Linked DNA regions of Arabidopsis thaliana. The protein of the gene in region 1 interacts with the protein of each later gene in a pairwise test. Each region holds a gene or a part of one and is shown in the gene's direction. Other genes may lie near its edges.

What was found.
Region 2: the proteins of AT3G22260 (region 1) and AT5G49000 interact in a two-hybrid assay, tested with the Arabidopsis thaliana proteins (one large-scale study listed by BioGRID).
Region 3: the proteins of AT3G22260 (region 1) and AT1G17970 interact in a two-hybrid assay, tested with the Arabidopsis thaliana proteins (one large-scale study listed by BioGRID).
Region 4: the proteins of AT3G22260 (region 1) and AT4G25920 interact in a two-hybrid assay, tested with the Arabidopsis thaliana proteins (one large-scale study listed by BioGRID).

The regions. Positions count from the first base shown.
Region 1 is NC_003074.8:7,868,539-7,874,957, forward strand, and holds AT3G22260 (Cysteine proteinases superfamily protein), read left to right. Parts: upstream 1-2,297; 5' UTR 2,298-2,596; exon of another isoform or gene 2,597-2,922; 5' UTR 2,923-2,950; coding exon 2,951-3,160; intron 3,161-3,282; coding exon 3,283-3,356; intron 3,357-3,513; coding exon 3,514-3,568; intron 3,569-3,663; coding exon 3,664-3,738; intron 3,739-4,068; coding exon 4,069-4,142; intron 4,143-4,233; coding exon 4,234-4,282; intron 4,283-4,474; coding exon 4,475-4,559; intron 4,560-4,642; coding exon 4,643-4,699; intron 4,700-4,796; coding exon 4,797-4,855; 3' UTR 4,856-5,059; downstream 5,060-6,419. Other genes in the region: AT3G22250 (UDP-Glycosyltransferase superfamily protein), read left to right, coding at 468-1,123, 1,252-1,515; AT3G22270 (Topoisomerase II-associated protein PAT1), read left to right, coding at 5,942-5,996, 6,358-6,419. UniProt on the Arabidopsis thaliana protein: Hydrolase that can remove conjugated ubiquitin from proteins in vitro and may therefore play an important regulatory role at the level of protein turnover by preventing degradation. Inactive cysteine protease.
Region 2 is NC_003076.8:19,862,411-19,867,203, forward strand, and holds AT5G49000 (Galactose oxidase/kelch repeat superfamily protein), read left to right. Parts: upstream 1-1,999; 5' UTR 2,000-2,116; coding exon 2,117-3,235; 3' UTR 3,236-3,415; downstream 3,416-4,793. Other genes in the region: AT5G48990 (Galactose oxidase/kelch repeat superfamily protein), read left to right, coding at 1-1,048; SLD5 (DNA replication protein-like protein), read left to right, coding at 4,054-4,221, 4,458-4,580, 4,709-4,791.
Region 3 is NC_003070.9:6,182,130-6,188,348, forward strand, and holds AT1G17970 (RING/U-box superfamily protein), read left to right. Parts: upstream 1-2,587; 5' UTR 2,588-2,902; coding exon 2,903-3,475; intron 3,476-4,041; coding exon 4,042-4,206; coding exon of another isoform or gene 4,207-4,278; exon of another isoform or gene 4,279-4,530; coding exon 4,531-4,629; intron 4,630-4,714; coding exon 4,715-4,849; intron 4,850-4,938; coding exon 4,939-5,073; 3' UTR 5,074-5,344; downstream 5,345-6,219. Other genes in the region: AT1G17960 (Threonyl-tRNA synthetase), read right to left, coding at 52-144, 240-326, 417-449, 693-787, 844-916, 1,066-1,366, 1,478-1,608; PAPS1 (poly(A) polymerase 1), read right to left, coding at 5,613-5,652, 5,751-5,818, 5,904-6,219.
Region 4 is NC_003075.7:13,162,750-13,167,766, forward strand, and holds AT4G25920 (hypothetical protein (DUF295)), read left to right. Parts: upstream 1-2,725; coding exon 2,726-2,782; intron 2,783-2,864; coding exon 2,865-3,619; intron 3,620-3,731; coding exon 3,732-4,092; 3' UTR 4,093-4,123; downstream 4,124-5,017. Other genes in the region: AT4G25900 (Galactose mutarotase-like superfamily protein), read left to right, coding at 79-181, 270-369, 479-648; NFU3 (NFU domain protein 3), read left to right, coding at 1,379-1,480, 1,566-1,683, 1,759-2,057, 2,154-2,345.

The DNA.
Region 1 (6,419 bases):
ACATAGGTTTTTAAACAGAACATTTGTAGTTGATAATTGCCGGATTATATGATTACCTAAAAAATATGCAATCATTGGATACGGTGATAAAGAATGAAAATGCAAGTCTTACGAAGTTTTAAGTCATGACTCAAATTAGAAAGGAGTTTTATTATTGGATCACTCAATGATATCCACATATATATCATAGTTTTGGTCATATATACAACATGAAAACTGTTAAGTCAAACTTTTAGTTGGAAGTGGGAACCATGAATCTAACCATATGAACAAGAAAAACCCACACTAATCTGATATTAATTTGATGAAGCAATTTTCCAAATCTAATTAAGTTTGAAAACATATTTTTTGCATGTCTTTCGTTATTTTATCCTCCCTTTGTTGTAATATTTTTTTTTTTGGTCATATTTTTATGGTTACTACATTATTTCATATTAATTACAGTTAGTTGTAACATTGATGTGCAGGTTGTCCTCGTCAACTAGAAAAAACAATAGTCCAGCCAGAGCAACCGCTCCTATCCGCAGAAGATCTACCGTGGCTGATCGGAACTCCCAAAGCTCAGAAAAAACGATTCAAGTTCTGGCAAAGAACTCTAGAACGAACAAAAAGTCTCCGTTGGATCTTGACAAGCTCCTTTAAAGATGAATATGAAGATGTCGACAACCACAAAGCATCCTACAAAAAATCTAACGATTTAAACAAAGAAAACAATGGTCAAAACCCTCAAATCCTTCATTTAGGTCCATTGCATAACCAAGAAGCAACAAATAATATAACTATAACCAAGACTAGTTTTTGGGAAGAAGACATGTCTTGTCTAGGTTGGCTTCAAGAACAAAACCCGAACTCAGTCATTTATATCTCATTTGGAAGTTGGGTTTCTCCTATAGGAGAATCAAATATTCAAACGTTGGCATTGGCGTTGGAAGCGTCAGGGAGACCTTTCCTTTGGGCGTTAAACCGAGTGTGGCAAGAGGGACTACCACCAGGTTTTGTGCATAGAGTCACAATTACCAAAAACCAAGGAAGGATCGTCTCATGGGCTCCGCAACTTGAAGTTCTTAGAAACGATTCTGTGGGATGTTACGTGACTCATTGTGGCTGGAACTCGACTATGGAGGTACATGTAACATATTGATATACACTAGTAAAATCTAGCATGTATTATATGATTATGGTATCTACTATATAAATTAACTTTATACAATATGTGTATTAAATTTTGATTTATTGCTTGTACAATAATAGGCAGTGGCAAGTTCCCGGAGGCTACTATGTTATCCGGTGGCCGGAGACCAGTTTGTTAACTGTAAATACATCGTGGACGTTTGGAAGATTGGAGTGAGATTGAGCGGGTTTGGAGAGAAGGAGGTTGAAGATGGACTAAGGAAAGTAATGGAGGATCAAGATATGGGTGAGAGATTGAGGAAGTTAAGAGACAGAGCAATGGGGAATGAAGCTCGTTTGAGTTCGGAAATGAATTTTACATTTTTAAAAAACGAGCTTAATTAGACGAGCGAAGAGTGTCGATGTCATAATATTTATATTTTCATTGTTTTAACTTCAAAATAAGCACTTGAAAATGTATAGTGTTTTCGAACAACTTGAATCAATGATGTTTTGATTCAACGATTGTAGTTTTTATTTGGTTAAACATTTGGTATGAAAGCATTTTAACCATATTAACGAATATATTTGACTCTAGTGACCAATTTATTTATTTTAAATGGAGACAAATTTCTTTGGAGAGCCATCAGTATTCAGCCATCATATTCAATAAGATTAGTTAAGTTGATCTGGTCTTATATGGTGCACGCATGTCAATCATCTTAAAGTTGAAAGAATTAAAAGTAGTTGACAAAATTAAGAGAAAAAATAGCGACATTATATTGGACAACGTTTTCCTCATACGCCTTTATATAATCATAAATAGATTGTAGTATATAGATTCTCTAGTTTATTTAATGCATCATTGATTTTTTTTTACATCAAACAAGAAAATATCATATTAGTAACTAACTTTATTAGATAATTAACTATAGTTTTATAATTGTTTTCTTTCTATTTTATTTATGTATTATTTTTATTTTTTATTTTTTTCAGCATCCTTTATTATTTTAAAATTTTTGTTACTCACTTTATGCATTATTTTTAAGGTCGTTTCTTTTGCAGAAAAAAATAAAATACACTAATAATTAAAGCAATAATATTTTTCTGACAAACAAATAAAAAAGGATTACTGAAATTAATTAGAAAACGCGGAAAAAATAATTAAAACGACACGCAACGGTGACGTTTTCTTTGACCCGCCAAAGAAGAAGAAGAAAAAAAAGAAGTCTTGAGGAAATCTGACGAAGAAGAAAACATCTCTGAGACCGACGAAACGAAAGTATCCATTTTTATTTGTCTGCAGTAGTAAATCAATCGCATCGGAAAAAGGAAACCTTCTTTAGCTTCTTCCGTAGCTGACGTCTCTCTCTATCTGTCTCTTAGGTGCCTCTTTCTTTTCTTCAACGATTTCTCTCCCCCTCTTGCTTTAGCTGATCGATTTCGAAAAATTGAGCTTGCCAAGTCAAGCAACCAGATTTTGTTGGTAATTATCTCAACTTTTTGTTTGCTCAACTTTAGGATTTTGAATCTCAGAGAATTACGTTTCCAGTAGTGGGTAACGTTTCAAGAATTTGAGATTGTTTTGGGTTTCTTTTGAATTTGGGTTTATTCAGTGTGATCTTTGATCTGGGTTTCTGTAGTTTTGTGTGATTGAATCGAAAGTTGTCTTCTTTTGTTACAGATTACAACATTTTAGGTTGATATACCTTTTGGATTTGGTTGCTTAATGGTATTGGATTGATACTAGTTTCTCAAGATTATGGTTTTCGTTTTAAACTGATCAGAGGTAGTCTCTGTCTTGCTTCCTAGGTTGTATTTAGTATAGGATCCAAATACAATGGATGAAAACCATAGGAATCCATTTGCAAATGCAAGTACAAGTGCTAGAGCAAGCGGCAGTACAAGTGCGAGCTCAAACTCGAGTTTTAGTAGCAGTGTGGCGGATACAGATGATGATCAGACCATTGCACGTATATTAGCTGAAGATGAGAGCTTGAGAAGAGAAGGCAAGCTTGGGAAGAGATTATCTCATTTGGATTCTATCCCAGTATGATAAGCTTCTTTTGCTTAATCTTCACATTTAGGCTTGGATCTGTGCTATTCATTGTTGTTGTTAGTGTCTATTGGTGACAAGTTCTTTGAATATCTTGTGGAATTTTTTATTGGCAGCACACTCCTCGGGTTAACAGGGAGATACCTGATATAAATGATGCAACATTAGACCATGAGCTGCTCTCTGGGAGGTTCTCATCTTCTTATCAACGTTTCCTTTAGTGTCATCGTCTTTCATTTCCTTGACTGCATTCTTCATTTGATGCTGATTAGATTGTTCATTGTCGATAGAATAGCTAGTTGTTTTCAATCTAGAAACATCTTTAATGGTCTCTCTTTTTTGTTCAGGTTGGCCACATATGGTTTAGCGGAATTGCAAATGGAGGGAGATGGAAATTGCCAGGTACGTTGAAAGGAACATCCATATAGACCTTGTGTGGACTCTTCAAAAGACTTTGTATTGATTTGCTTTGTCATATTGTTATACTTGTTTGCCAGTTTCGAGCTTTAGCAGACCAGCTTTTCCGCAATGCAGATTACCATAAACATGTAAGGAAGCATGTTGTAAAGCAGGTACTGCCTGAGAACCATAACGCATCTCATTTTCTTGTTCACAAATGTCCGATTCTTTAGTCAGCGCCTTCAGGGATGAATGTGTTTAATCATATATACTGGCTCTCTTTCATAAACTCGTGCTTCTTCTGAAAATTCCTCAGCAACACCCTTCAAGCTGTCTTTCCTGTCTCTGTTGACTGGCTTTCAATCTCTGAAACTTTTTTTCTCGGCTTTAGCAGTTAGCTCACTTCCTGAAGTTCCCATCAAAACACCTATTTCCTTAGTTTTGGCCACATACTACTTTATAGTTTACTGCAATTATTCTGACTTAGCATTTGCATTTTTCAGTTAAAACAACAACGGAAGTTATACGAAGAATATGTGCCAATGAAATACAGACACTACACCAGGAAGATGAAAAAGTGAGACATTTTTATTTTTTTTGATAGTGTCAACGAGTGATAAATTATTCTCCGATTCATTCTTTTGCTGATACATTTTGGACGCGACTAGACATGGTGAATGGGGAGATCATGTTACTCTTCAAGCTGCAGCGGATAGAGTAAGTTTTCAAAGAGATACCATCCTTTGAGTTTACTATAATAGACTACAAAAGTTTTACAAACATACCTTAAAGATCAGATCTTCTTTGAGCAACTGCATCTTGAAGACTCATCAACAAATTTTACCTTTATTCGCTCACATTTCGTTACTTTTTTTACTTGAATGACTGGCTGACTCAGCATTACTGCAGTTCGAAGCCAAGATCTGCTTAGTCACATCCTTTCGGGATCAATCCTACATCGAGATTCTTCCTCATAACAAGAACCCTCTTAGAGGTACAAAGCCCTCTTTCTACCTTTATGCTCTAGGCCAAGTTTACTCGTTCCTAACCGTCTTGAATCCTTTTGTTGTACTGCAGAGGCTTGGCTCAGCTTCTGGAGCGAAGTGCATTACAATTCTTTATACGCTAATGGAGGTAAAAAACTCAGTTTCCTGCACTCAACTCTGCTTTTAAAGTAAATTATTATCATCACTAATTATCTCCATGGCTTTCTGAATCTCAATCTGAGTAGTTCTTGCTCTTCCAGATGTTCCAACAAGAAAACCGAGAAGGAAGCATTGGCTCTTCTAGTATTGGATTTAAAGTTCATCTCCATTTGTATAATGTATACCACTTTCCTCAGATTTATTTGTGCAACTTTGAGATAACCTTACTTTGTTGTATGCTTTATCATTGTAAAAGAAAAGAGTAAACATAGATATATTATTTTAAATACATTTATAATCATGTATATTGACTTTTTATCCCTAAGTTTTTACATGGAAATGATGAATCATAACGAAAATAAAACTATCATCATCAAAATATTGGTTGTGATACTTTCAAAAAATGGACCATAATGAGATCAATTTGAACCGACCGGGATGAAATGCAATCACATGGACCAAGTAAACGTGTCGTTGAGTTATATATAAATAAAGTCTATGTCTTTTCAATATTTTTAAAATTGATTTTGGTTGAGTTTGGAACAAGTAAAGTAATGGGTCTTAAACCTCAAGATCATAAAAGAATCAGTGGGATGGGATCGGACATAAAGCATCACACTTTTTTCTTTGACTCATATAAGCATATGATGCATATCATTTAGGCAGTGGATTTAGTATGAAAAAATCAAAAACTATATTTTCAGAACAAAATTTACATAAATTAATTTTAATTTGCTTATAATTAATTGTAGTAAATATGTTACACTTAAAGTTTTTTGAACCAATTAATGATTTAAGACTAATTTTATTATCATACTAACAAAATAGGAAAAAAAATCAAAAAAAAAAGTTTGGATTTTTATTTGGGTTTGGGCAAAAGGTCAGGTCATGTGTCGATGTTACACACGGCCAAGGAAACAGAACAAGAACAAATAAAGGCCATTGCTTTCTTCTTCCCTTCCCCTTCTCTTCATTGCCCTTCTCTCTCTCTTTTTTATCGCGGAGAGAGTTTTATAGATTTCTCCTTCTTCAACTTTACTTGCGTTTCTTTGTTTTATCAATTCGAAAACCCTAGCAGCAATCTCTGCTGATTTCACTTACCCACCTCGAATTTTGTTGTTCTATCTCCTTCACAAAGCACCACCTATCTGAAACCCTAGGGGAAGAGGATTCTCTCTTATGTCCTCTTCTGTTATCTTCTCTTACCTCTAAAGTTTCGTTTATTTCGATCATGGAGAGATCTGATTCAAGGGATTTGTATAACTTTGTTCGCGCTTCTTCCTTAGGTCAGTCTTCTTCTTAAAGGATGTTTCTTTCTTTCTCTTTTATGATTTTGCTGCTTATAGCTGATTTTGGATTCGGTTTTGTGTATTGCTTGGTTTGTTTAAGCACATAAATGTTGGAGATTTATGCTATGTATGATTTAGGTCACTGAGCTATATAGCATCTTTAATGTTCTAATGGGATCTGATGGGTTTGCTTAGTTTTCGATGTTGTGTTCCAATGCACAAATGATAGACCAGTTTGGATACTAAAAAACTTGTCTTTAGAGATGTTGTGTTAATCCCTTGAATTGTTAAAGTCTAGATTTTTATGGTCATGTGTTTGTAATGTTGGATTCTGAAACAGCTGTTTTTGTATCTGCAGATAAAAACAGTACACTCTTTGATGCATCACAATATGAGTTTTTTGGACAAAATCTGGATGAT
Region 2 (4,793 bases), on another chromosome or scaffold:
GATAGTGAGCATCTTAGCCCGCGTCTCGAGATCGTATTACACAAATCTCTCCGTAGTCTCAAAAACCTTCCGATCAATCCTTACTTCACCGGAGCTTTACAAAACCCGAACCCTCTTAGGCAAACCCGAGACTTTTCTCTATGTCTGCCTACGCTTCCCTGATGAAGCTAATCCTCGTTGGTTGATTCTCTACCGGAAGCCTAATCAAACCCTAACTAAGAAGAAGAAGAAGAAAGAGGATTCAAGTGTTCATCTTTTGGCTCCAATTCCAATTCTCAATTCTCCAACTGTGGAATGGTCAAGTCTAGTCGCTGTTGGTTCTTATCTGTACGCCATTACCGCAGACATCAAAGATTCTCCATGCTCTAACGTTTGGTACCTTGACTGTCGAACGCACACTTGGCTTGATTCTCCAAGATTGCGACTGGCTCACATCAATAGTGACTTTAATGGGAGGACGTATTTCCCAGGAAGCTCTGAAAAGCCAGATTCTTTGAACTGTGTTGAAGTGTACAACACAAATACTCAGACTTGGAATCCCGTGCCTCCCCAAAAACGAAAACTCAAATTCGGAAATATGGAAGGAAAGATTTACATACCCCCTTGTCAAGAGAATCATAGGAAGGCTGTGGCTCTAAACCCAAAGGTTTTGACATGGGAAGCGGTAGGATTGGGTACGAATTTGGATAGGGGTTCTTTTTGTATGATAGGGAACATAGCCTATTGTTATGACCCTAGTGGGAAGTTTAGATGGATGAATTGTAACACTGCGGAAGGAGACTGGAGCAGATTAGAGGGTTTAGAAGGGCTACCTAAGTTTGCTAGATATAGTACTGTTAAATTAGCGGAATATGGCGGGAAGCTGGTTGTTTTGTGGGACAAGTATGTAGCTGCAAGTGGGTATAAGGAGAAGATGATTTGGTGTGCAGAGATTTCGCTTGAAAAGCGCAACAGTGAAGAGATTTGGGGGAAGGTCGAGTGGTTTGATGCGGTTCTTACAGTCCCTAAGTCTTATAAATTCGTCTGTGCTAAATCTGCTACTGTTTGATTGATGACTCAGGACATAGGTACGAAGCTTCTTTTATTTAGTATGTCACAGTTGAAAGAATGTCTTGTATCTTTTTCGGAATGCAGTTGTCATTGTTTTCGCCTTACAAACACCTGCACTCACTTGCTTGTAGATGATTAAGCTTATTTTGTGACTGTCTCTTTGATAATTCCTTTGATGCCAAACTCTTTCTCCTACTGTTTTTTGCTCTGAATGTTGTGTTGCAAAATGCCTATATTTATGTGACTATGATGAATGCTTCTCTCATGCTTTTAGCGGATATTGTTTCACTTCTAAACATATGCACTCACTTGTAGACTGTTTAAGCTTACTTTGTCTATGAGAATACTTTTGTTTGTCTTGCATAGAAAAGTACTGTTATCTTTACATTTCACGATAAGAGCTAGAACAAGATACACAGTTAGTGCTTGTTTTGTTGTTTAAACTGAGGCTTATGTTCATGTCTTGTACTTGTAGCCAACCTAACCTACAAAGAAATTGCTACTGTAACAATTTGAGGATCTTGTGTGAAAATACGGGTGGACTTGTCAAGCCACTCTTTCTTTTCTTCTCAATCGAACACTATTATTATCCAATTATATACTCTCTATTTTTTATGATTCAATTCAAGTTAGATTCCATTATGCACAGAAAATTAAATTGATCATATGTCCAAAGCTCTACTGTCATTTTTGAATTTTGTTGAAATTTTGAAGGGTTAACTTATTTTGTGCCATTGACCACTATGATGCATTTGAAAGACTTTTTTTTTGTTGTTGAACATACGTGATTACTAGCTTCATAGGAAGAAATAAGTGTAACAAAATATATATATTTGACGAATTTTTGGTCCTCTACTGGTAATTTTGAGTTGTGTTGTAGAAATTTGTGGTGACTCAAAACTATTGTTTTAAGGCTCATTAAGATTCAATACAAATGAATTAGATAATTCTATAAGGCCCATTAAGATTCAATGCAAATTATTTAGATAATTTCTAAAGGCCCACTAAGATTCAATGAAAATCTGCAAGTCGGAGTAGAAGCAGAAGAAATCGACTAATCTCGCCAATGTCGTCTCCAGAGAGGAAGAGGAAGAAACGGTCGCTTGAACCGTCACCGGAATCGACCCCAAACCCGTCACTTCCCGATGATTTGATTGTGAGCATCTTAGCCCGAGTCTCTAGATTGTACTACCCAATTCTCTCGTTAGTCTCCAAGAGCTCTCGAACCCTCGTTACTTCGCCGGAGCTATACAAGACTCGATCTTTCTTCAACCGAACGGAGAGTTGTCTCTATGTATGCTTAGATTTCCCTCCTGACCCTAACCCACGTTGGTTTACACTCTACCGAAAACCTAACCAAAACATCACCGAGAAGACAAAGAACTCAAGCGGGTTTGTTTTAGCCCCAATCCCAAATCACCATTCACATAGTTCGAGTATCGTTGCTATTGGGTCTAACATCTATGCCATTGGTGGATCCATTGAGAATGCACCCTCTTCTAAAGTCTCAATTTTAGACTGCAGGTCTCATACATGGCACGAGGCACCAAGCATGAGGATGAAGCGGAATTATCCAGCTGCTAATGTTGTTGATGGGAAGATTTATGTAGCAGGAGGCTTGGAAGAGTTTGATTCATCTAAATGGATGGAGGTTTTCGATATAAAGACTCAAACTTGGGAGTTTGTGTTAAGCCCTTTAGCGGAGAGATTTATATATAGGAGCTTGGTGATTGAAGGAGAAATCTACATTTTTGGGGATAAGGTTGTGACTTACAAGCCTAAAGAAGATAGATGGGGAGGTGTAGGAGAACATCAGAGTATGGATTTGGGATTGTTTTTTCATTCTTATTGCGTGATAGATAATGTACTGTATTGTTATCGTCCTGGTGGAATCAAATGGTATGAATCAGAGAAAAGATCGTGGAGGAAGTTGAGGGGTTTGAAGGGATTGTCTAAGCTTGCTAGTAGCTGTGTTAAGTTAGCGGATTATGGTGGAAAGATGGCTCTTTTGTGGGACAAGTATATCCCTTGTAGTGGGAATAAGAGTCATTCGATTTCGTGTGCGGTGGTTTCCCTTGAGAGATGCAAGAATCAGGGTATTAGGGGAAAGGTTGAGTGGTTTGATGATATGCTTACGGTACCTAGCTCTTATAACTTTGTGGGTGCTCTTGCTGCTACTCTTTGATGATGATTGCCATACGAGGCACACACATTTGATTGTCTAGCTAGCTTACAGATAATTGCTTTCTATGTTGTAATAACTTAATGATGGGATTCTTCTTACCATATTATTTCAAAATGCAACTGGCTTCATTTCCTTCTTCATTTTTGTTTTCTTGTCAAGATCAAACAAAGATTATTCAGTTATAGCGTCTTTTGTTGTCTAGAAATCACTGAACTAGTAGTTAGTTATTACACCTTCACCGGTTGAAACAACAACTTGATGGGACAGGGAAGTGAGAATCTTTTTTGCCTTCTCGGTCTTAGAAAGAATGTACATTTGCGATGAGAGTAAGAGCAAGAATTTAAAAAAGAACAAAGAGGAAAAGCCGAAGAAATTGACATTGTTTTTGCTTATAAACATTTGCAGTCACTTGCTTGTTGATTAAGTTGATTTTGAGGTTAATTGACAACTATAACAAATCAGAAGATTTAAGTTGCAATTATGTGCGCTAAGCTAAGGCTTTTAGACTCTTATCATCATGTAGTAACATCAAGCCAAGTGCCAATACCTTTATATAGATACTTCCTGAATACAACAAAATTGGACACAATGATCTGAGTTTCATATTATATAATATAAATTAACTAAACCGATTTCTCAACCACACATTTGCTAAAGGCTCAATATAAATTAATTAACCCTAAATCCTTCTTCTTCGACCTTTTATTTGGCGCCAAACCCGCAGTTACATGTTTTTATTTCCCGCTCGAGCAAATTGATCTGATCCGAGTCTTTCAAGCGGGGAGAGAAAGAGAGAGATTCGTTAGTACATTGATCTAATGGCGTCGAATTCGGAAGCGGGAGGATCGGCGGATTACGAAACATTGATGTCGACATCGGACGTTGAGCTATTGAAGAGGGCGTGGCGTAACGAGAAGGCGGCGCCGGAGATTCTTCAGTACGAAGGAGCTCTTGTCGATAGAGCCAAAGAACAGATCGAATTAGTGGTAAAATGTCTAAAACCCTAAATTATTCTGTTGGATTTTTTCCCAGAAATTAACCACTAAATCAGAAATCTTTTGGTCTATGATCCAAATTAGACTTTCCAATTGTTAGAATAGTATTCGTTTTTGTGTGAAATCGAATGCCACATTAAACTTAGTTAGAGTTGTTCATTGTCTTGTCACTTTCTAGTGGTTGCATTTGGAAATTATCAGTTTTTGAAATGTTTGTAAATAAACAGGAAGAAACAATTGAAGATTATGTGGAAAATGGCATAGATCCTCTGGTGGTGTCTCTATATCAGATGGATTTGGACAGAGCCCAGTTTCTACTCAGATCATATCTCAGAGTTAGGCTTCTCAAGGTTTTTTTTTTTTTCCAAGACTTTCATATTAGTTTTGCGAGTTTATCAACGTTGATTCCAAGTGTCAATGTTGCTTAATTGACTTTGCTTTTATGTCATCTCCAATGGTGTTCTTTTGATTGCTGCAGATAGAGAAGTTTATGTTCCACAACCTCAACTCAGAAGAAGCTGAAAGGCGACTTTCTGAGCAAGAGAAAGTGTTTGCTACCAGGT
Region 3 (6,219 bases), on another chromosome or scaffold:
CTATGAATTATAAAGTTTTGAGTAGAAGCATCAGAAAGTAGTGACACATACAACCCATGGCTTTCCAAAATCATCTAGAGCTTTTTCAAGATCATTTTCAGCTTTAGCCCATGTTTCCAAATCTCCAATGTGATCCTTTGGCCTCTGAAGTCGAAACCAACATGCAAACAATGAGATACGTGACCATACCATGCAAAGTATATTAGGTTTGGCAGAGAAGAAATGTGAAAATATCCTACCGTTGAAAGCGTTAGTTCATAGGTAAACCCAAATATTCTGTAAACATAGTCAATGAAATCCAACACACCCTTCACTTCTTCCTCAACCTGCAAATAGATAAGAATATTTCTATAAAATAAGAAACTGGGAGGATAAGGAGCTCCAACGTTGCTGCATAAGAAACAAATATCACAAACCTGATCCACTCTACAGAATATGTGTGCATCATCCTGAAAACAAGTATGCACAATGTTATTTAATTAAGCAACACGCGCACAAAAGGGTTAAAATCAAATTGACAAACTACTAAGTAAAGTAAAGTAAAGGGGTAACTTCTTCACTTCAACATGGCAAATAAGCTGCTTAACTAATCATGATATCATTTTGAATGTCGCTAGTCTTTATATAAAGCAATCAATTTTTAAGTTTTAAACATTTTACCACAAGAAAAGTCCAGAAAGATGCAAACATACCTGTACAAACCGTCGGACACGGGTCATTCCACCAAGTGCTCCACTGTCCTCATTTCGGTGTAACACTCCAAATTCGGCCATTCTAATGGGTAATTCTACATTCCATACCGCAAAACAAAAAAGATGTCAGCAAAAGATATATATGCAACACTTGCTTCGATGTTTGGAAAATGATTGTCGTTTAATCCCAGCTCGCCATAATAAAGTGAATCGTAATAGAAGCCCTGCAATAACAATTACCATCAGAGATAGCCCGTCTTTGCAACATTACAGATGAAATACCAAGAACCAAACAATATTGACTCCTCCTTTTTTTACTCTTTTAGCCAAAGAAACATAATTAAGGGGAAAAAACACAGAACAAAGCTCTTACTTCATCTCTGGGTTCGCAGGGTCCAATACATAGCTTGCATCCATACTCCTGCTCGAGAGCCTGGCCTAGAATGTGGGCGCTAGAATGCCAGAAAGTATTACGGCCTTGGTCGCTGTCAAATCCGAAAATCTCTAAGGAACAATCACCTTCCAGGGGCCTATTCATGTCCCACAAGACATGATTAACCGAAGAAACCAGAGCAGATTTTGCTAAACCCTTAGAAATCTGCACTGCGATGTCCATTGGAGAGGTCTCCCATCTCCTTCCTTCTTTCTCGATACCGTCGGGGAGAAGAGTAATCCTAAGCAGTGAAACAAAAACCAGAAATCAACTAATTGCAAAACCCTAGCTTAGCAAACAAATTGATGCACCCTAGTGAAAATGATGAACAATTAATCATAAACGTATTTACTTGATTGGATCGTGTGGCCGAGATTGAAGCTGCTCAAGCTGCTCGGCTTGGATTTCCTCGAAGAGCCTGATACGCTTGGGGATGACGGATGAGAGATAAGCCTCATCCTTGGGATGATGATTATTCGCCATCGATGGATGAGCAGAGAACGAAGGACAAATAGAAACTATAGAATATAGAAGATGACGTTGAGAGCAGAGGAGTAGATTATCCCAAGGTCAACTTCCCTTTTATAGCTACAACACTAAAGTGACTTGCGGGCCAAGCTTTAGAGCTTTTCCTTTCATTTTTTGTAATAAGGTAATAACAACAAGTGGCAGATGCACCTAACTTTACATAATTTCCTTTTGTATTTAAATAATTTTCTACAATATTTATAATTTCTTTTCAATTGAATTGTAGTTTTGTTGATAAAATGCAAATTAAAAGTATATGTATATAACCTATTTTGGCGTGACTTTCTTTGATTTAATGTTTCACATTTATATTTGTTGCATTCTCAATAATATCCAAATGACCATTATTAGGCCTATTAATGTGGAAGCTATAAAATCAGTTTGAAGTGGGCTTATTATTTGTAGTTTTGGGCTCTTAAAAGCCTATTAATGATGAAGCTAGAATCAGTTTTGCAACGTTCTCGGATGGTTTCGTGTTACAAAAATGTAGTCGGGTTCGATTTGGTTGAACCGGGTCTGGTAGACAATAATGTAATATTGGAAAGGAAAACGGTTCAGGCTTCGTGGCGATGAGCATCAACCATCAAGGCTTTGCTGGATGTCTTCAAAGCTCAAGAGTGCCAACTTTATGTATACGAGGATTGTTCAAATATTAAAACCAACCAAAGAAGTGGTCTTTTGATGTTTAAGCTTATCGTAGGATGTTTCAGCTGGACTTTGTGTCTCTTCTTTATCTCTACCAAAATAATATCTAATCACTCTCTCTCTTTTTATTTATTTAACAAGATTGTTTCGACTTAAAAGAGTCATGTAGTGACTGACACCTTTCCTATTTTTACAAGCAAGCATCATTTTAAAAATTTTAAAATTTACTTTTCTGGAATAGAAAAACCAAAAATAAGCAAAATCATTAAACTAAATTGCCCAAAAAAAGTTAAAAACCCAGAGAAATACTCAAATTAACCTAAACAATATCTCTTATAAAATCATTATTTCTAATTTGGTAGTATTCACAAAAGATATGCATGAGCTGATTTTGTTTGGAATCTCATACTAATGGTTGCATGTAAAAACAAAAACTAAAAAATCTTTAATAGTATTATATAGGAAAAGCTATAATCATTATACAAAAACTGTATCATCATCATCATCAAGCTTGAAATCACTCTCTTTCATCCTTCCCCGCGCACTGTGTCTCGCTCTCTCTCTCCCACATTTCCATTATCTCCTTTACTTTCTTTCTTTGAGAATGTCTTCTACAACAATCGGCGAGCACATCAGACTCCGACGAGCTAGAAACCAAACAATCCGTCATCTCCACGCCGCCGACGATGATCCGCCGCTAAGCCACGTCGTTCTTCCGATTTCACAACCTAATCGCTTCTGTAACTCCGCAATGTCTTCCTTCTTTCCCCTCCCGACTTCCTCCTCCAACGAAAGCACGAGGAAGAAACCGTACCAAACGTCGTCGTTTCGAGGGATGGGTTGCTATGCCGCAGCAGCAGCAGCAGCTCAAGAGGTTTCTGTTCCCTCCGTCATTCGCTACTCCGCGGATTTGGATGCCAGAATTAGAAAAGATAAGAAGAAGAAGAAGCATAAGCATAAGAAAAAGAAAAAGAAGAATAAAGGAAGCTACGAAGATGGTTCGATTAGGATTTTAAGCGAAGAAGCTAGAGACGTTATTGATGTTTGGTGCAGACCTGGATTAGGCTTCTCCACGGATGCTGTAATTGGTCGATCGGTTGATCCTCCTCGGGGAAGGAATATTCCGTCGTCTCGTCGCAAAATTGATGTGGATAACAACAATTATAATCACACACTGGTAAATTGATCTAAAGTTGGATGATGAATTTAGTGTTATTATGTTATTGACTTTGACTTTGAGGAAATGGTATCGTTTAGGCAGAAACTGTGTGGAGTGGTTGGAGCTCTAGTGGTTGTAGTTAGCTCTATGCCAATTGCTGGGCCATTGTTAGTTTGGTTTGGTTTATTAATATATGTGTTTGGATTCTCGTTTAGACAAATCATAAGGGTCTACTTTAGATGTAGCGGTTCTCTATTATTAGTTTTTGTTTCATGTGAGGATAATATAGAAAATTTCTTTGTTTGACGTGCGGGTGGTTCTTTTGGGTTTGATGCTCAATAAACTAATCGAACTCTGGTTTGGTTAGAGAATGGAATCTTATCATGCTTTTGTCTCGTTTAGCTAGAGGATGGAATCTTAGCATTGTTTAAGTTTCTTTTTGGTTGGATTCAATTGGTTAGGGGAGTTGTTGGATTTATTTTGATCAAAGAAACGCATTGCTTCAGAGGACTTGAAAATTAGGAATCTATCATCATGTCTAAGTGTTTGAGAAATGATAACACAATGCTACAAATGTTCTGCAGGGTTCTTCTGTTCTTCCCATTCGGTTTCTCAATCAAGAAACTCATTCTCATGATATCTTCAACTCTGATTCTACTTTTGTGACATCATCACGCGCTGAACCAACGATGTTGTCAAGTAGATGTCGTGGCCATCTTCCACGCTCTTACCCTGATGATCTTACCGAGGTAGAATGTTCTTGCCAAATAGTTGCCTTGTCTTTCTTGCATCTGGTAAATGTTATAGATTTGACTTCTTAGTTTATTAACTGATCACACTCAACACTATGTTAAGGTTTGACTTGTCACTTGGCTTCATATCAACTAAGAGATTATTCTAGAGTTGTCTCTTACATATTCTAGTGACTGATAGAGTGGAAGACAAATAATGTAATCGTTCTCTTTGGTGCTGTATGGTGCTGTAAAACTGTTTTGGATGGCTAATAGCAAGTGAGCAAGTTAAAGAACTAAACCATGCAGCTAGTGTAGTCATGTTCCTGCTGTTCACTGCAGATGAGGATGCTCCAGAATGGTTTTGTAATGGGAAGAATAACAGATTCCCGTGATAACTACCACGAATTGAGGCTCGATGTTGATAGCATGTCATACGAGGTATGTTTTTCAAAATCTCATGAGAAAAACACTTGCAATCTCATCTTCTCAACTTTATCGAGTGTGTTTGCTTTGGTCTACGCAGCAACTTCTTGAGCTTGGTGATAGAATTGGTTATGTGAATACTGGACTAAAAGAAAGCGAGATACATCGTTGTCTTGGGAAAATCAAACCATCCGTATCACATACTCTTGTTGATAGAAAATGTAGCATCTGTCAGGTAAACTCCAGATTGAGTCAATGGCTTCTCGAAACTTCAGACAGATCATGAGTTTCATAATGCTATTCCTTATTGTTTGATGGTGACAGGATGAGTATGAGAGAGAGGATGAGGTTGGGGAATTGAACTGTGGACACAGCTTTCATGTCCATTGCGTGAAACAATGGCTTTCGAGGAAGAATGCTTGTCCGGTCTGTAAGAAGGCAGCATATGGCAAGCCTTAAAAGACTTTTGTATCTCGTCGGGTTTCTGATAGCTCAAGATCTTTCAAGCCACCTTGCTGTATAGAGATCTGTATCATCTGATACTTGATTCATATTTGTTGTTTTTGCATTTAGCAATCACAATTTTTTTTTTTTAAGATCTTATATTCTTTGTTGGGTCTATTTATGTGATTGAAATCAAGAGTTTGAAATCTATGTTTTCTGTTGCCTAGGTAGATTTAAGACAGGTAGAGAGTAATTTAGCATATAGCATACACGCACGTAACTAAGAATCAATGTTTTAACGTTTGAGTCTGCATTTATATATATATGTGAAGTAAACTCAACCCAGACTTTTATTTATGACAGAAAAAGTGTTTGGGATCCATAGACAAGAACACATTACATTAATCTTATCCAAACGAGTTTTACATGAGATCATGCAACATCTAAGAAAAGCATATAAATATAAGACATAAAGTAACAAGAACCCCTCAACTTAACATCTCGAATTTCCGTAAGTGCTCTGAGATTCTTGGCAATGTAGGGAAAAGCCATTATTACTTGCCATTGGTTTTGCCTAGAGACGTGAAGCTCAATCTGCGAATAATCAGACAAACAAAAACAAACAATCTTTGTCAAAATCCAAAAATGTATATTCAAACGTTAAGAGTAAACATAGACACAAAATCACTTACTTGATTATCGGTTTTCGCTGTTGTACTGAAGGTCTATGTGCCGCATCGGGCTGTCGCGTGGGAAGAACCTTTCAACAAAAGAGAAATCAGACAGGAGGAATAAGATCAAGAGAACAATTTATGTATCGAAAATTGATAAGAAAAATAAGAAACCTCAAGTTCTTCCACTGCTTCATAAGGGAAAGGAGAGCCATTTGAAGTAGCTTCGAATGGAGGTATAGTTGCAGTAGCAGACAGGACTGCAACTTTATGAGATATCTGCTCAATCACTTGGTTTCCAAAATCAAAACTTTCTTCAAGCTCCTCAGTTTCATGAGCTTGAGGAGTGGCTATCTTTTCTATCGGAAGACTCTCTGGTGGATCCTTACTGAAAGCAACAACATTTTCTGGTGGATCCTTACTAATAGGCTCAGATTTACCGTTTGTACAATAATCTTTCATAGGACTTGAACAAATTGATCCAACAGAT
Region 4 (5,017 bases), on another chromosome or scaffold:
TCATAACTTCACGTTGATATCTTTTTTTTTGGTTGTGTTGGTGTAAGTGTCATTGAATCAGCTGGTTGTTGTATTCAGTGAAATCCATGTCGAAGGATTACACAACTTGGATTACCTTGACCAACAAAAGAACAGAACACGTTTCACTGATCATGAGAAGGTTATAACTTTCAATGCTCAAGTAAGCCTCTTTCCATTTGCCAATTCAAATTTCAACCCTTTTATTATTTTAGTCCATCACTAAAAAAAAACACACCTTGCAAAAAAAGCTTGACAGGTTGTACCTAAGCACTCCAGATCAACTAAGAATCGTGGACCATAAGAAAAAGAAGACTATTGTTGTACACAAGGAGGGACAAGTTGATGCCGGTAATTACAAATTTAGATTTGTAAACATACATAGACATAGACACAGTCACACAGAAACAGATTGTTTTAGTAGTACTAATGATGGATCACTTGTAATTACAATGTGCAGTGGTGTGGAATCCATGGGATAAGAAAGTATCCGATTTGGGAGTTGAAGACTATAAGCGTTTTGTAACGGTGGAAAGCGCGGCTGTCGCGAAACCGATCACAGTGAACCCCGGCAAAGAATGGAAAGGAATACTCCATGTTTCTGTGGTTCCATCAAATCGGAAAGCTTGACCCTATAAAAGTCTTGCATTCATCATCCTCATCCTTTAAAAAAAAAAACTTAAAACTGTCTTTATTAAAGTATACTTAATGTTCCCGAGAGACATCACATGGTGAACACAAAGTTAGTTGGGTTCCAAACTGGACTCTTGACCAGTTTTATTGTTTTGTAACTTTAGCATTCATGAATAAAAAAAGTGCGTTAATTACAATAATTGTTAAATGTAATTAAATAAAAGTGCGTTAACTACAATAATTGGATATTGGTTATTTGCAAAATTCATGTTCTTAAATCATCAGTCTAAACAAAAAAATTAGATTAGCCGAAGATTTCTTCTTCTACCCTTGATGATACTATTTGGGATGGGCTTGCTTAGATGTGCCGAATCCAATTCTCGTTTTTGGGTCTATCTATATTTGGGCTGGGCTTTATAAGAGGCGAAGCCCATGTCGAACAATCAATTTTTTTTTAATTTTATATTTCTTTTGGGAGTCTGTTCTGTCGTATTGATTAATAAAGTAAAAAATCTTAGCCACAAAATTAAATCATCTCCAAGACGTATCAATATCATCATCAATCCACCAATGAAAAGTTCTCTCTTTTTTTTTCCCACTCTTACTCTGTTCTCGCTACAGAATCTCCTGGGAAAAAAAAAAAAGAAACTTGATCCACCCGAATTCCCCAAATCTTCACAATTTCTGGAAACTCTCTCGATCGTGAAGCAGAAAAGTGAGGTTCCAAATGGGTTCTGTTTCGGGTCAAACCCGAATTACAACGATGAACCTCTCGCTCTCAACAGCAGAGAAGAACCCTAATTTCCGCTCGTCGCTTCTCAATTCTAAGGTAATTGTTATCACTTCGTCGAGCTTCACCAAAAAAATGACTCCTTTTGCTTGATTTCTTCTTCTCCTCTTTCGCTTGTGTTTAGAACGCAATTTCAGATACTTTAGGGGTCTCTTCCAAATGCAGTACATTCCTCAGGGGTCAATTTCAAAGAATACATTTTTCTTGGCTACAACACACTCGACCTTTGAGAAAACGAACAGGTACTTGATTTGCAAACCAGACCAATCTCTTTAGAACTTTAGTTGTGATTTAGATTCTTGTTATGTTTGGTTTAGTATTTGGTCACGTGAGCTGCGTCATGCCGTTAACGGAAGAGAATGTGGAGAGAGTGTTAGACGAAGTACGACCATCTCTAATGGCCGACGGAGGAAACGTGGCGTTGCACGAAATCGACGGACTTGTGGTGGTTTTAAAGCTACAAGGAGCTTGTGGTTCGTGTCCTAGCTCATCAATGACGTTGAAGATGGGAATCGAGAGTCGTCTTCGAGACAAGATTCCAGAGATCATGTCCGTTGAGCAGTTTCTTGAATCCGAGACAGGAGGTTTAGAGCTGAACGATGAGAACATTGAGAAGGTTTGGTTTTTTAAAGGTTTAGTTATTTTTGGTTTATTAGCCCCTTGGTTTTGAAATTGATCTGAATGGTCCTTTTTTGGTTTGTTGTCAATTTAGGTTCTCTCTGAGTTAAGGCCGTACCTATCCGGTACTGGAGGTGGGGGGCTTGAGTTAGTTGAGATTGATGGTTACGTGGTCAAGGTTCGACTCACTGGACCAGCTGCTGGAGTCATGACTGTTCGTGTCGCGTTGACTCAAAAACTGAGGGAAACAATTCCTTCTATAGGTGCAGTCCAGCTTCTAGAGTGACATTAACCTTTTTATTTTGTAACTTATATACAAGGCCTATTTTTGATTCAATATATTTTATTTCCAATTATATAATTAGTACAACTAATACAATAACCATTTCTGTTGAAGAAAAAGGAAAAGAAAAAAAAAGTATCCTATGTATGAAGGACATTTTCTCTAGTGATCCTTGTTTTTAGGTAACAGTTATAAAATATTCATGACTTGACTACACAAAGATAATCGAACTTAAAGAGTTATTTCCTTAAACCAATTATTCTCTAATTAAATATGCATTTATAGCGAGTTCTTGGTGAGCAAGGATACTAGAATCTCTATAATAAGTCGGACATAAGAAGATATGAGGAAACACAGACATAACATAGTTAAGAGTTTCAACAATGTCAAAGCTTATAATCAACCGAATATTCAAACCCTCTGTCTGCAAAAATTTCCTCGTACGTAAGCTTCTCTTGCTTTTTCTTTTTAACTTTAATTTTGTTCTTGTTGTCTCTGAATACTTGAACATAACTATGGCAGAGACACGCAAACGTTCGTCTGTTCTCATCTGCAACTCACACGAGTACTAAAGTGAATCAGCCCTTCTCGTCTAAACCAGCCTTCCCGTTTCTGTTGATTGACTACATCCTAAACAACCCAAACTCTTCCTCCGATGGTCGCGTAACAACAAACGTTTACGGTAATGAAAAGGAAGTCTTGATTAAGGACAAGGATCTTAAGGAGGAGGTCTGTGATGCGATGACTGTCGGGTTTTCTCGTGATGGGTTGCGAGTCGAGCTTTGTGGCAACCACGGCGATGTATGTTCTCCCACCATCTTTTACAAGCCTACTGACCCCGAAATAGAAGACTTGACCGTTGATCTACCTCCTCTACCGACGGGTTCACAAATCCAAAGCCTGGTCATGTCCTCTTTACCTAAACGAGACAAAAATTGGGTAGTTGTTGTCAAGTTATTGGGATCTCAGTTGAGTATGTGCAGGCCTTTTGGCAGCCGTAAATGGATCAACATCCAAACCAAGCCTCAGAATATAAACCCTTCATCGAGCATCATGTTTTCCAAGAAAGAGAAAAAGTTCTACGTTCCAACTCCCGGAGGCAACATCTTGTGCTATTTGGATCCTCACTCAGAGGACGACGACCTAATTGATTTCGTGGAATTGGAGTTTGACGATCTTCCAAAATCGGTGTTTCAAGAGTTGGCCGACGTGAGTACATGTTCTAGGACAGACCACCTTGTGGAGTCACCCACCGGCCAACTTTTCCTAGTCAAGTGGTATACTATCTAATTAAAGCTATATATAGCTTTTGTCTTCATAACATATATACCAAAATCTCTAATCCTTTGCTTGAGTATCATATTGGCGCGCTTTATCATGTCTTTGCAGGTATGGAGAGGATTTAGAGGACATTGACAACACCACACTGTATAATGTAACAAAAAAGTTCATGGTGTTTAAAGAGGGAGAGAAACCGAGTTGTGTCTACACTAAGAAGATGATCTATACAGAAGACATTGGAGATCTTTGCATTTTTGTTGGACATAGTGAGGCTTTCTGCGTCCCGGCTAGCTCGTCCCCTGGCCTCAAGCCTAACTGCATCTATTTTGTGGGCTATAACTTTGGTGTTTATGATCTCACCACCAAAACTTGCACTATGTTCCTCACAAAAGATGATAATCCATTAAGGAAATTGGAATTCCCTTACTGGCCTCCTCCGGCTTCCTTTCCAGTACTAGCTCCTAATTAATTATCTCTCTTGCACGTGTTTATGTTTCGCTAATGTTATCGCTGTCTTTGCTTTCCCATGATTTCATTTAAATCCAATGTTCTCTTTTAATCTATGTTCAATGAAATTTATATTAGTGCCTTAAAAGAAGGCGAATCTATCCTACCAAAAAAAAAAGAAGGCGAATCTAAACGAATTCGGTTAATTCATCATATTTCTCAATTAATATACGTAAGACACACTTTGGCACAAAACTTATATAATTATTTATTTCCTGAAACAAGTTATCCTCTAAATATGTATATTTAATGTCCTAAGGTGTAGTACCCTCGGTATTCACTAGACAGAGACGGGGAAGACGAAAGAGTCGCACGTCAAATCAAAATCACAACACATATTTTGAGTGTTGTTACATTATTTTGTGGTGGATCACTATGTGGAGTCACCCTCCGGTGAACAATTCCTCGTCAAGTGGTATATATACTATAGACATTGCTTTTGAATAAACAATTATACAAACTATTAGGTTAATTACTCAACATTTTAATTTGATTTAATGGCTCCTCACCAAACACAAGAAGAGAGGTGAAACATGTTATCTTATTTGTTCTTCCATGCATTTGTTTTTAGGTACGGCCACAACTTAATGCGCAATCACAACAAAGTGGAAACACTCGTGCACATGGCATCACAGTTTATGGTGTTTAGAGCGGAGGAATCATGGGAGGAAAAGTATGTGTATTACACAGAAGATATTGGAGATCTTTGCATCTTTCTTGGACATAGTGAGGCTTTCTGTATCCAGGCCAGTTCGGGCTCAAGCCTAACTGCATCTATTTTGTGGGCTATAACTTTGGTATTTATGATCTCACCACCAAACCTTGCACTACTTTCTACACAGAAGAGGATGTTCCATTAAGGAACTTGGAATTCCCTTACTGGCCAC